Linked DNA regions of Tamandua tetradactyla. The protein of the gene in region 2 interacts with the protein of the main gene of each other region in a pairwise test. Links are inferred from orthologs where the notes say so. Each region holds a gene or a part of one and is shown on either strand. Other genes may lie near its edges.

Region 1 (7,194 bases), on a different chromosome or scaffold from region 2:
GATATTTTTCTAAACCTATGTTCAGAAGTAGGAGACACACTGGGGTGTCTAACGTCTATAAATACAAGTATTCAGATAAATGCATGCACAGAAATCCATTTTAAACAAGTCTGAGTGATTCGAAAGATTAACCTGAAACTGCAGGGTAACCGGATACAGTTTTGCAGAAACCAAAGCCAACCATAACAAGAAGTATGAATTGTTGACGTAAGCCCTGAAGGTATTGGAGATAACAGTAGGCAGAGAAACACTTGCTCTTTTGATGGTCTCACAAAGATCTTGTTGCCTGTAATTCAGGCACTACCAAATTAGTGGCACTCTAAAAATCCTCTAAAAACCACTTAAAGGAAATGAACATCCATTTGATAAATTCTGAAATGTGATGATAAATTTTTATTAGGTCCCATCAATGACAATTGCATAGAACCAGAAGTATCTCCTACAAGGTGTTCTTTCGTTTCTATTTTTTTAATCAATTTTCACAACAATAAGAAAAAGCTGTTTAGACAGTAGGGATCTACCATTGGAAAGAAAATGTAAAGGGTTTGGGGGAGACCTAGAAAAGATCAGAACATATGAATAAATTAATCGGGATGTGTATATATATGCATTTCTTAGGGATTTCACATACCTAAATCCCTATCATTATCTTTTCCCCAAAATCAGCCTCTCCAACTGATTACCTTTTCTCAGTTCATGTTATCTTCACTCAGGCTTAAAAAGAGAGACCCTTCTGTCGCCATTGCCTTTCATACTCAAGTGTTTTTGTCTCCCCTCCGTTCCCTCATTTTCTCTTTCCCCAAAGAATGCAAGTCACTCCCTTTCCACTACTTTCCACCCATTTACACACATACCACTTTTCTAAAATAAAGTTCCTAAGTCCCTCCAGTGCTCAAAATCCTTCAGAGGCTGCCTGTGCTGGCCAAACTACTACTTCCTCACGGGAAGTGCCCAAGTGTTCCGCAAAGCAGCCCGGCTCTGAGGAACCTCCCACGCAGACACGTGCAATGTCCTTCTGACACACTTAATAACTTGCTGCTACTCAAATATGCCCTACAATCCCTGGAATCTGTGCCTCACCATTAATTATTCCCTGGCTGTGGATTACTCTCCAAACTCTGGAATATTCATCCTCTAGGCTGTACTCAAGGACCTGTACTTGGATTAGATCATTTACTTTGTTTCACTTTGTAGTGCCTAGTCGCTCAGCCTACTAGACTGTAAACCCGATAAGGACAGGAAATGGGTTCTCTCATCTCTTTGTACCTCCTACACTTAGCATGATGTCTGTCCCCTCCTAAGTACTTAGAAACTATCTATGGCATTGAAATGCCTAAGCATGAGCTAAAGAAATAGATAAGATGAAGAGGTTGCAGATAGGGAGGATGGGAGAGTGGAAAGTTCCCACCCTAATTCAAAAATCGCTATCTATTTTTAGCAATAAATAGTCTATCAAAAGGTGAAGTCAGAGCCTAACCAAGTGAACCACGTTTTGCCTGATAGCTGCATGGCAAATAGAAGGTACAACAGAAAGCTCTGTGTTTGAAAACTAAATAAAGATGTTGGTACTTGCCTTACTTGCTTTATTTTCAAACAGGATGTGAATTGATAGGAATGTTCATCATCACATTAAATTTAATATCATGTAAGCACTTTGGATTAAGATGGAGCTAAAAACCAAACCATTGCAACTATGTGCTATCTTTATTGTGAAAAGTATCAAAGAATCAGTTAATAGATATTTATCAAAAAAAGATCATGCCTCTCCCACCCTATTGTAATTTTATAATCCTGAAATTAGTAGGTTTAAGAGGAGCATATGTTGTAGATGCATGATTTAAGGGCAAAAATTCATGCTTTAAAGCAATTCTAAATATTTTCCGTATGACTGCTATGTCTAAATTCAAATGGGTACCACCTGAAGCGTTGTTACGCTTACTTTTATTTTACATATTGTAAGCCAGAGAATGAAAAAAAAGTTCAGTTAGATATGTATTTTTTCAAACGAGGTTTCCTCCCTAGGGGAATGCATTGCAGTAAAAATAATAACATAATTTAGTCTTTCTTGAGCGCATATTCTACATCCCTCATTGTTTTAAACACTGCACGTTTCTTCACTTAGGCAGCATGAGAGACCCATAAGAGCGACTCTATTATTTATAATAAATCTTGATTTTAGAAAAAAGAAAACTGAGGCTTAGAAAAGCAAATGACTTGCTCAGGATCCCACAGCTAGTAAGTGACAGCCCTGGTGTCCCTTCTGGCACTCCCCTTGCGGTCTAGCCTCTCTTACCCAAGAGAAATTCTAATTTCTCATAGCGTGAGGCACATGGAAAAAACACCCCAGAGCTGAAGAAACTGTATTTACCCAACAAAACTTGCTCTCAAGAAAAAAAATATTACCATTTGATTATAAAGTGAAATGAGTAACTATCAAAGACTGGGAATAAGGATGGGAGGGAAAGAGTCCACAGGAGATATAATGGGGAAAAAAGATCAATAATTCTCTTAATGGTTGTATCTGTACAAACTACCTTCACATTTGGTGTGCATAAGGATTCCCATTTTCATTTTACCCGAACATCTCTTCAAATAAGAGAAACACTTTGCTATTACGTTTTGCCTTGAAAAACAATTTTGATTTTGGTCTCAAGCCTTCAGACTAGTCCACTCTTCTCTGGGCTCCTTGCCTCCTTCCTCACCCATGCTCTTATCACTAAAAGCCTCTAAAATAACATTTCTAGGATGAAGTCAGACAAACATTATGATTCTACTCTGGTGAGAACACAGGCTCTTTAGAAATGCATACCTGCTTTCGTCCCCGAGGTAAAGTAGCCACAGCGTCTGCCAGCATTTGGAGCCTTCTATTATCCTCCATCTGCAGGTTGTCTGTGAGTGGGGAGTAAGAGTCACACGCTGGAGGCACACAGTAGTCCAAACGGCCATGGCTGCTCGACTGCATGAGCCTTTGTAAAGACATTGTGAGAATAAAAATTACTCCAGCTGGTACATGGTTGAGTGGCCTTACGGGCCAGGGCGAAGCTAAACCTCTAACCCTCTCACAAGTAATCAAAAGTAGCAAAGCAGAAAGAACCCATGTGACTTCTGTGGTTTGAGGTACTTGTTACACAAACGCTATCTTGGTGTTCACTCCCATTTCTTAGTGCCTTTTTTTTTTTTTTTTTTAATTTAAGCCCCTGGGAGAACTTAAAGCTGGCTTTTACAATGAAAGAAAATCAATTTATTCTTTTCTCCTTCAAACAGCCAGAACTCTTAAGCTTTCATGTTCTATGGCAAGATCAAAACACCATCTGCCATCTTTTTCTTTAAAGAAGAAAGAAAAACTTCCCAAAGTTCTGCCATTTGTTTTTCATCCATTCCCTTAAATATTAGCCGTGCAATGTAAAAGTCAGAATGTGCGGACACGCAGTTCTTGTGAACATTAAACAAGAATTTCAGGTTCCAGTTGTAATGTTCTCTCACAAAGCCCTTGTAATGTATTTTTCCAAAGGTACCCCCTACCTCATTAATGTTCATTAAGGAGACATTATATCTGCCACTCGGGTTGGAACCATTTAGCATCGTTGTCCTTCTACTACTGTGACCTGGTGAAAATCAACCATTACTTTAACAAGGTGCAATGGGAAGGGAATCTCCGCATCAGCAGGTGGTCGCAGAGGAAGAATGGAGTGAGCAGGAAGACAACGGGCAAACCAAAGTGGCACACCGATGTCGCCAGCTGGTCTCTACGTGAACATACGACTCAAGGACATCATCACAAAGCACTCAAGATCACAGAGTTTGGCTCATCTATGTTTTGTGTATGGGCAGTGGGGAGAGGTAGGTTTTGAGGGAACTAGTTTCAGGGACATGGCTACAGACGCAAGTAAAAGGAGGAATCAAAACAAAAATTAAAAAAAAAAGGTTTGATGTAGCACAAAAAAGTCAAATATGATTTTCAAACTCATTTTGAAGGCCAACAGTGGAATTTAAAAGCGTTAGAAAGTCTTTGAACTGAAATGGAACATGAGTGCGTTGGAAGCCAAAGTGAATTCAATTGAAGCGGAGCTTGCCAAATGTGAGTAGTAAAACCTTTAGTTAACAGTTCTTCAAAGAATGGAGCCAATTCAGAAATTTTAAAAACCCTACCACACCATAACTCATTACTACTGGAGCTGAATTATGACATGGACAAAATGATGCTCCCCAAAATATATGAAGATCTAAATGAGGGATTATAAACACACAAAACTTCAGGGGACAGGTGGGGAGCATGTATGCGTAAGACAAAGGGGAAACTTGGGCAATGAAGAATATATCAATTATAAAAGCAGTTATGTACAATTTATGGATTAGATAGATAGGCATTTTTAAAACATCTCCAAAATACCCCACCGTACTTAATCATTTAAGTCCTATTTATTGAGGACAGCAGTCCACCTGTCACCTAAGAAGTTTTATAAAGTTAGGTAATTTTTTTTTGACGTGCTGTATGATGGGGGTCACATTTCATTCTTTTTCCATCTGAGTACCCCATTATTGCAGCACCATTGGTGAATTTTTCTTCTTTGTTTTGCTCGTCTGTTTGTTTTTGGGAAGCGCATGGGCCGGGAATCGAACGCAGGTCTCCTGCATGGCAGGTGAGTATTCTACCACTGAACTACACTTGCACCCCTTAAAATGAGGTAAATATTTTTAATATTTCAAAATACCAAGTGGAAATTATGCATTTCCCAGATATACAGTAACATAGGCCAATGAATGCATCATGTTTTATGGAGGAGGCTAAAATTATGTCAATTTTGTGAGTCATGCTGGTTTAAAAATTATGTTAATTATACATGTCTTTCATTTAATTAAGAAATTGGAAAACAAATTATTTATTATTTAATTTATGAAATGTGTTTAGCGAGTGGAATCTTACAAATCAAATCATGTGATCTATGGGGGGGGTGGAACCAGAGTCTATTGACTACCATGCAGCCAGTGCATACCAGATGGTCACACCCATTGATTATATATTTACAACCTGGTCTATTTTGATTGGTCAGTTCCCTGTTCTTCTTGTCAGTGCTTCTGTCAGACCAGTTATTAAATATTTTGATAACATCCCCAATCCAAAGTGTCCATTGTGACAAAATATGGGGAAACACTAGTCTTTCAACCTGAATCTGACTTCAGAACCTCAAACCCTTCACTGGCAATGGTGTTCTAGTGTTTTCAACTTCTTATGATTTGCCTTAGAAAAATTATAATAACTGGACTGTCTTTATCCCCTTCATCCTCCCCATTGCTTCAGAAAGGTGATTCTGGAAATTAATCAGATCAAACCATAATCCTTACACACATAACCAGACCGAGTTTCATTTCACAATTGGATTTTTTATCAAAATTCAAGATAAACAAGAAACAATGTTCCATTTCTCCCCTTAGCTAACACTCCGCATTGGCCCCTGTGCTCAGTTTTTGGGTAATCTAACTCTTGCCCAATGCGGGGGTGGGAGGAGCAGTTTAACTCTGCAGGATCAGGAAGGGCTTTGGGACTTTAGAAGGTAGCTTCTTGGAAAGCAAGAGACCTCTCTGAGCACTTGAATTTTGTGTAGTACCTGAAACAACAAACACCCACACAAGATCTAGATGATTTCTCTTTGGCATTTGAATAAAAACCAAACTCCTTGGTCTGGCCAGCAAAGTCCTGCATGTTCTATGAGCTGCTATAACTTCACGTCACATTACCCCCTGGTCACACTGGCCTTTCTTCTGTCCCTCCAACAGAAAGCAGTTCCTCTTCACGTATTATTCCCTCTGCAGGAAATCTGCCTTGTTCTTTCCTCTCTCCATTCAAATCCCAGCTTAAATATTATCTACTAGGGAAGCCTTCTCTGACTGCCTCAGTTAAAGTAGCCACTCTCTCTGTTCTGTTGCTTGGTTTCATTTTCTTGATAGCACTTAACTACAGCTAATGTTATTCTGTTTATTTATTTACCTCCTTATTGTTTGACCTCCCCCACTAGAACATAAAATTCATGAAAACAGAACTGTTCATTTGAATCCGTAGCTCCTAGAATAGTTCTCAACCCTCAGTAAATAATGAATGCATGAATGAGCTGATTGTTAACCGAGGGAAGAAAAGTAAAGGCATCTGTAAATATCCTTACTTTTACTTTATTAATTTAATTGATGAAGTTAAATAGACTACTAAGCATATAATCATGATAACAGTTAGGCAATGTGCTAAACATGTTTAATTTCATACAAACCATGATAATGGTATTATATTTATCTTTCTGTTTTCCAGATAAGGATACTGGAGATAACACACTTGCCTAAAATCACACAGCTCTTATCTAGGACAGACAAGCTTAGAATCCACATCATCCTTTTCCAGTGCTGACAAGGCTAACTGCTCTATACTACTGTCTCCAATAATTTTGCTAGCACTATGGGGATGTAAAGGTGATCCCTGCCTCAAGAAGATCAGAATCCAATAATGGAAGATAGAGACAAACAAATGAATGAGTGAATGAATGAGTGAAGTCTCAGCATGATAGCAGTTTAATATCACTGTTTAACACATACTATGGATTTACCAAAGAGAAATAAAGCATTTCCTCTACTATATCTCAGCTCATACTCTATGACATTTGCAATCTAAAGTGTATAAAATGAACCATTTTAAAAGGAAGAGTGTCAATTATTCATTACTACCCATTTTTTCTTACGTTTATCTCCTTAAAGAGATATTTAAGGCTATCGTAAAAAGTAGAAGGCACTGTGAACTCCGAAAACTGATGACCACCCAGAATCTCCTTGGCCTGGTTTTTGACTCAAAACACAATAGAAGGCCTGTGAGATAACAAATATTGAAACATATACAGGTGTTTGGCAAAGCATTGTGCTGGATTCAGAAACAGTGGCACTTCCCCTTTAGCCAAGCATTATGAACATTTTACTTCACTAAAATCTCAGGGGGCAAAAAGGCTGTGAAATGAAGGATTTCATCTAAGATGGTTGGATAGCTGACCTCATTCTCAAAACAGAAGCCTGGGGAAATTGCCATGAAGTCCAGATACTGGATTTCCAGAGGTGGCCCGCTAGGACTGCTCCCTCTTCACTGATAGAAAACTACAGAAGTTAGTGCTTCCTGAGTGTTTCCAAAGTGGAGGACCATCCATTTCTCCTGTCCAGTAAACA
Region 2 (7,318 bases):
CAGCAGGTATCCCACTAAAGAGAATCTTTCCCTGAAACATTACATAAATATTTATGTAAATTTTCTTCTAAAGTAAGATCAAGCCATTAAATATTTGAATATTCTTACCTTACCATCACCAGATGGGGTGAAGCTCAGTAAAGGATTAAGGCAATTTGAGGCATTAATTGAAAATGTAAAATGATATTTTATGTCTTGAGTCCAAACACCTGCATCAGAATTCCCTGATTCATGATTTTTAGCCTGAACAGATATAGTGTTTTCTTCTACTTTGTTGTTTTAGTGATGATTATGGGGTCCAGCCAGCCCTCACTCTACTGTCTCATTTAGCCAAACCCCATTCTTTCTCAGGCCTGCATCTGTATCATCATTCTCTTCTGTAATGCTCCATTGTTCTTCCAAATGGTTGTTGAATTTTCTGTACTTTACATTTGAATAAGTACACTGACCTTCCTCTCACAGTCTTGGTATGATAGTTTGTTGCATTTTAGGGGCAGGGCAGGGCAGCGGAATGCCTCAGTTGGCCCAGGATGGCCCCGGGTCCTACCCACTGTCTGAGGAGTTACTACCAGCACCAGCTGCAGACATGAAAATGTCCCTGTGTGGATAGTAAAGTATGTAGCCATTCTCTTTATGAGTGAGTTGATTATATAATTGGGCATGTCAGTAGTTAAATTTCTTCATTAAGGAATTTGAAACATGTATTTTCATTCATTGCTTCATTTTTTAACAATGTTATTTGTTGCGCTAGATTTAGCAAATGCCATGTGATATCGGGCCAGGTATGCCCTACCATGCTGTCAGCTTCGGGGCGGCTGCCTGACCCCCACACCCAGAAGCGGCACAAACCTGTTCTGAAGGCATGGGAAGCTAAGAGCATGGCAGCTCCATTCTTCTTGCCCAGGCCAGAGGGCTTGGAGTCATCCTGGATTTCTTTCTTTCGCACTCTTCATGGAAATCTACCAGCAAGTCTTTGGCTCTTCCACAAGCATAAATACAGCCAGAGCCTAGGCAGTCATTGTCGAAGCTCCCTTGGCACAGCTGTCAGGGCCTCCCAGCTGGGCTCCTGGCTCTAGCCCTTACTCCCCCACCATTTGCTCTTATCCACCAGTGAGCACAGTGTTGTTACAGAGGAGGGCAAGGCACTGCACTTTCCTTGGAAGCCTGGCACTGGCTCCTCATCTCACCTGGGGTAGGCATTTGATTCCTGGAAATGGCCTCTCAGGCCTTGTTCAGGCCTCCCCACTCTGGCCTTACCCCTGCTCCAGCTCCTGGCCTCCTTGCTGTTCCCAGAGAGGTCTGTCCTGACAGTGCCCCTGGCCCTAGTGCTGCGGTGTTTACCACCTGACATACTGCACATTGACTAATTTGCTTGCCTGCTTCACCCGTCTCCCTATAGAGTATAAATGCCACGAGGGTAGGTATTTTTATGTTTACTTCTCTGGTGCAGCACCCATGCCTGGTAGTTACTGCTGAATAAAAATGTGTTTGAGGGCCATGGTGGCTCAGCAGGTAGAGTTCTGGCCTGCCATGCTGGGGACCCAGGTTCGATTCCCAGTGCTTGCCCATGTAAAAAAATAATAATAATAATAAAATAAATAAATTCCCCTTTAAAAAAAAACAACTGAGGGGGGACTCTCTGCGTGGGACATGACTCCCAGGGGTGTGGACCTTCCTGGCAACATGGGACAGAGATCCTGGAATGAGTTGAGACTCAGCATCAAGGGACTGAGAAAAACCCTAGAATGAGCTAAGAATTAACATCAAGGGATTGAGATAAACTTCTCGACCAAAAGGGGGAAGAGTAAAATGAGACAGTGTCAATGGCTGAGAGATTCCAGAGTCGAGAGGTTATCCTGGAGGTTATTCTTACGCATTAAGTAGATATCACCTTGTTGTTCAAGATGTAGTGGAGAGGCTGGAGGGAATTGCCTGAAAATGTAGTGCTGAATTCCAGTAGCCATGTTTCTTGATGATGATCGAACAATGATATAGCTTTCACAATGAGACTCTGTGAATGTGAAAACCTTATGTCTGATGCTCCCTCTAGCTACTATATCAACAGAAGAGTAGAACATATGGAATAAAAATAAATAATAGGGGGAACAAATGTTAAAATAAATTCAGTTTGAAATAGTGGTAAATGAAAGCAAGGGGTAAGGGGTATGGTATGTATAGTCTTTTTTCCTCTATTATCATTTTATTTCTTTTTCTGTTGTCTTTTTATTTCTTTTTCTAAATCGATGCAAATGTACTAAGAAATGATGAATATGCAACTATGTGATGATACTAAGAATTACTGATTGTATATGTAGAATGGAATGATACCTAAATGTTTTGTTTGTTAATTTTTTTAATTAATAAAAAAAGTTAAAAAAAATGTGTTTGAGTGAAAAGAATTGAAGTTTAAGATTCTAGATTTGATTATAACAAGATAGAAACTTCTGTATAACAAAAGATACCACAACTAAAGTTAATATTAAGTAACAGATTGTGATAAAATAATTGCAACATCTAATACAGAGGATTAGTAATCTACAAGTTGATAAGAAAAAAAGACAGTTGATAGAAGAATGAGCAAAGGATGTGGACAGGCAGTTCACAGGAGAGGGAATACACAAATTTACGGCAAGATCACCTGCATCACTGCTAATCAGATGGTAAATGCAAACTGGAAACAATAAGAAGACATCATTTTCCACATATCAGACTGGCAGGAATTAAGTTTGATGCTGCCTGAGCTTGGGAAGCTGTAGGAAAATGGCAGGTGCTTTGGCAGTGTCCACTAAAGCTGGACTTGTCTAGATGTGATGACCTAGCCATTTTGCCTTTGGGTGTCAGCTCCAGAGAAATACTCTCCCATTTGACAGCAGGTAGAGTGTAGAAATGACCTGTCTTCTTGAAAGTTAGGATCATCCTCAGAGAATCAGACCTGGCACCAGAAGATGGGAAGTGCTGATTTGGGAATCATTAAACTCTTAGGTTTTGAAATGGACTGATACTGGGATTCCTTGTGGATGGAGGTCAGAAAGGAGAAGATTTAACTGTTTTTTTGACGTTCTAAGTCAAAGGGTAAAAGGCTGAATTTGTTAGTTGACTCTACAGAAAAAGTATTTAAAAATATATATATGTTTATATTTATTTAACTATTATTAGGCAAGACAGAAAAGGGTGGGATGAGTCTCTGCCCCGTGATGCATCAGCACCTGTGGTCGCCTTCAAATTATGATTGGTGACTCTCCATCTTGCTGTTAGCCTGTGTGTTTCCAGCTCTTTAACAAGTACCAGGGCAAAGGACAGCAGGTTCAGGCTCCCCACCAAAGAGTACAGGCACCTGCGATGCCAACCAAGGCCTAGTGGAGGGGGGTGTTGGCGGACCAGAAGTGAGCATCATGCAGCTGGTCAGTTCTACAGCCAGCAGCCTTCTTTGGACTTTGGCTGAGCCATATAACTTTTGGGATTTCAGTGTCCTTGTCCGTGAATGGACATGAAGACAACACTTGCCTCGCAGAGGTGCATTCAGGAGTAGGTGGGTTAGGCCATGTCAGACTGGGTTCAAAGGAACCCCTCGTAAACAGGACCTCTAATGCAGAGGCATTAGGCACACTTGTTCTCCTTTTATTTGCCACTTGCGAGTATGAATATCTAAGTGAAGAACCAGAATATCATGGAAACTATATCTGTATCCAGCAACTCTACTCCTAAGAATTTTTGTTAAGAAAATAAAGAGATTTTTTGTGCACATGGGTGTTTATTGCAGTGCTGAGAGTGGCAGTAAAATTGGAAACTACTTAAAAGTCTTAAATTAAGGGATTGCCTATTATGTTTATATGGTAAAATACTAAAAGCATGGTTGATGTTCAGTTAGTTGTGGAAAATGTTAGTAAAAATGGTGTTATAAACAGCATGTAGAGTATCTCATTTTTGTTGCAAACAATATATATACAGAGTGAGAACACACACAAATGAAAGTGAACAAGTCTGGGAGGCTGACTCCCCATATGTCATCATCAGTTATCTCTGGATGGTGGGATTGTGTTTTCTTATTATAATGCTTTCTCAATTTTCAATAGTGAACATGTATCATATAATAAGGGTGTGCTGAAAAGATTTTGGGGTAGCACATTAGAAAACAGAATGGTGTTAAAACCGAGTTTATATTGAGAATTTTGCCCTTGAATATTTTTTTTCTCTCTAAAACCTGCCTTCTGCTTTTATTTATTTATTTATTTATTTATCTATTTTACATGGGCAGGCACTGGGAAACGAATCCAGGTCTCCAGCACGGAGGAGAGAACTCTACCACTGAGCCACCGTGGCCCGCCCTGCCTTCTGCTTTTAGCCTGTGACCTCATAACGTGCTGTAATGATTAAGATTTCTTAGTCATTCTCTTAGGAAATGAGCTATCATCCCATGAGACAATCAGGGATTTCAAAGTCCGTTCTGAGAAAGTACTGGAAAGGGGAGAGGAAAGCTGCAGTCGGTGCTGCCGGTGCCACCACTGTAGACGAGCCGAATCTGAGGAAGGCGGGGAAGGGCAGCCTGCCTCCCGCTAAGACCGCCTTGGGAGGGAGGTGGCCCCTGGGCGGGAAGGTGCTCAGCCTGTCTTCAGGAACTGGGTGGTGACCAGGGACTGGGCGGGACGCTCCCTGTGAGCTGGAGGCCGATTGGTCCAGGAGAGCAGCCAGCGATTCCCCTTCAGTTCAGGAAGCAGCACCGAGGTGTCTGGTGGCCAGATAGCCCCACGGGCGCCTCTGGAACCCCTTGACCAACCCTCACGGGAAACTTTGCTCTGACTTGCAGTTCTCCTCTGAAGGACAAGCCTCGTGGGCCTGTAGGGTGCTGCTGTGACAGAGCAAGATGGTTCTTAAAACCCAAGAGGAGGAGGGTAAGGCCAGGTCGCAGCGGGCTGGGATGGAGGCGGCCTCGGGTGTAGGCAGTGTGCTTTCTCTCTGACTCGTGCGTGGAACTAGACCGACAGTTTTACGGGGCCTTTTAGGGGAGGAGCTAAAGACTGATCCACACTCTGGTTTTTATCGTGCTGTTTTCAGGAGAAAGACTGGATAATGAGTTAGTGGTTAGTGAGTTAGTGTGTGTTGGTCCTAGTGCTGGTGGTGGGGAGTGGGTAAAGTAACTGTGTTTTTAAACCAAAGGAAGCTTTTTGTTCCGCTCCACCCCCCAGTCTTTGTCGTTGTTGGGGTCTGGTGACTTCCTGGTGACTTCCTTCTTGGTGACTGTGCCTGTCCTGGGCAGGCCTGGGCTGAATCTGAGTGACAGTCAGAACCCCTGAGAGCTCCAAGAACACCCAGGGGTGAGTCAGTGCTCAAAGGTAGATGTGATAGACCGGCACCAGTGAGGTTCAGGATCAATCATACTCATTTTTAATTTTTTTATTAAATAAAGTGTGATGAAGGGAAAATGCATAGTTTGATTTTCCTCTTTGGTTAAGACTGTTTGAAGCCTTATGGAGTTGATGGACTTCCCCCACATTCTTCACACGCACTCCATAAAAAGTGAGGCTCTGAACAATGGGACCGTAAATCCCATTTATGGGATTTTTTTTTTTGCACAGGCAGGCGCTGGGAAGTGAACCCAGGTCTCCGGCATGGCAGGTGAGAAGTCTGCCTGATGAGCTACCGTGGCCTGCCCCATTTATGGGATTCTAAGTCCCAAAAAACTCTTAAGAAGAACTGTGTCTGACAGCATCCTAGGTTAGGGCTTTCAAACTTTCTGAAGCCATAGGAGTTTTGTGTGTGGATTTGTGTGCATTCTCTTGTGATGCTTTCATCACGTGGTGGTATTTCAAGGCTGTAAGTCAAAACAGCAAGATGATCTTAGCTAGTAAAGAATAATGTGAATCACATTTGAAATAAATCTTAGTAAATATTAGGCTGCATTTTGAAGTGGGTTTTATTAAAATTATAATAAATTTTGGTGGTTCTCTTTATGCTTTTCCTTATCTAATTCACTGTAAGTCATGTATTTTGGAGTTTCATGAACTCTGTGCAGATTGTCTTGGAGAATATCCATGGGGCAGCTTGGAAACTGTATCATCTATGAAAGACTTTGGGAGAGAGGGACATATAGGTGCCTGTCATGCTTTTGCACTTGAAGAGGGGGCAGTAACGAGAGACAATTCTGGGTAAGAGTTGAACTGCCCACTTGGGAGTTTTTGGGTCTGAAAGGTGGGACCACACTTGCTGTCTGCAGCTCAGGGGGATTTGGGAGTGGAAGGGGACACAGTGTGTACTAGGACAGAGCCTCTGGCCACTGTACTGCGACTCTTTCTTACGCAGACCCACCGAGTCCAGGCTGAGAGCCACTGCGGGGTCTAAGCCAGAGGGGTTTGGCCCCAGTTATCCCAGAGGCTGTAAAATCCAAGATGATCTGCCCTCATGTGCGTGCTGGGTTAAATGGTGGCAGTGCTGATTTTTGGGCCAGGAATTTTAGAGATCGGAAATAGGAGTAACAAGCAATTTTGCTCTGAATAAGTCACCTTAAAGAGTTGGTGGTTCTCTCTTTCTGTTCCTCATCCAGGAATTATCCCTCCATGTTGGCTGTTTGGAACAGTGCAGAGGGCAGAACTGCCTTGTTAACCACTGCCCACATAGGTACCTCAGGTGTGATGAGATGTAGAAACGGTAGTTGGGTAGCTGTTAAAGTCAGAGGAACAGTTGGAGTTTGCACTGGCAGTTCCCCAAGATCCCAGGGGAGGAGGGAAGTTAAGCGTCAGCATTATGCTTCCAACAAAGCTGCTTTTACTAGTTTTAGTACCTGAAGAACATGCCTCATTAAGGATCACTGGGGACGTGAAAATCTTCTTGACTGTGGTCAGATCCTTTCCTGCTGTACTAATCTCAGATCCACAGCCTATACAATAAAAGTGTTGCTTTTGCCCCCATCCCCCTTTCCTGGCACCTATGGCGGTCACCTTATATTCCAGTATCATGTATGTATAAGTGGGAGTTAACCAGTGTGAGTAATTTGGCACTGTTTCTATAACTGACGTTAAGTGGTTTGTTTACGATTTTGTTTCATCTTTTTAATGTTTAGTCCCCCTTAATTTGCCTTTGAGCCCTCTCTTGGGAAGAGGGATTTAGGCTCTGTGATGTGGGACAAGAGGCCCTTCGCAAGCAGCTGCCAAGCTCTGTTTCTGGTGCCCACCCAGTTCTGGGTGCACCTGGGCCCTCGTCACCTGATTACTTACTGGCCCCCAACCCTTGTTTGGTGTTTGCCATCCTCTCTGCTTGGAATCTGTTTGGGGCTCCATTCATCCTTCCTGGTCGGCACCACTGTCCTTCCTGCAAATGCGTGTTC

The links.
Region 1: the proteins of CYTH1 (region 2) and CYTIP interact in binary tests that used the Homo sapiens proteins (3 or more experiments, as listed by UniProt). The link is inferred for Tamandua tetradactyla from reciprocal best matches to the Homo sapiens genes CYTH1 and CYTIP.

The regions. Positions count from the first base shown.
Region 1 is NC_135329.1:127,771,881-127,779,074, forward strand, and holds the start of CYTIP (cytohesin-interacting protein), read right to left. Parts: upstream 3,091-7,194; 5' UTR 2,981-3,090; coding exon 2,810-2,980; intron 1-2,809. UniProt on the Homo sapiens protein: By its binding to cytohesin-1 (CYTH1), it modifies activation of ARFs by CYTH1 and its precise function may be to sequester CYTH1 in the cytoplasm.
Region 2 is NC_135332.1:71,097,843-71,105,160, reverse strand, and holds the start of CYTH1 (cytohesin-1), read left to right. Parts: upstream 1-4,242; 5' UTR 4,243-4,861; coding exon 4,862-4,889; intron 4,890-7,318. UniProt on the Homo sapiens protein: Promotes guanine-nucleotide exchange on ARF1, ARF5 and ARF6. Promotes the activation of ARF factors through replacement of GDP with GTP.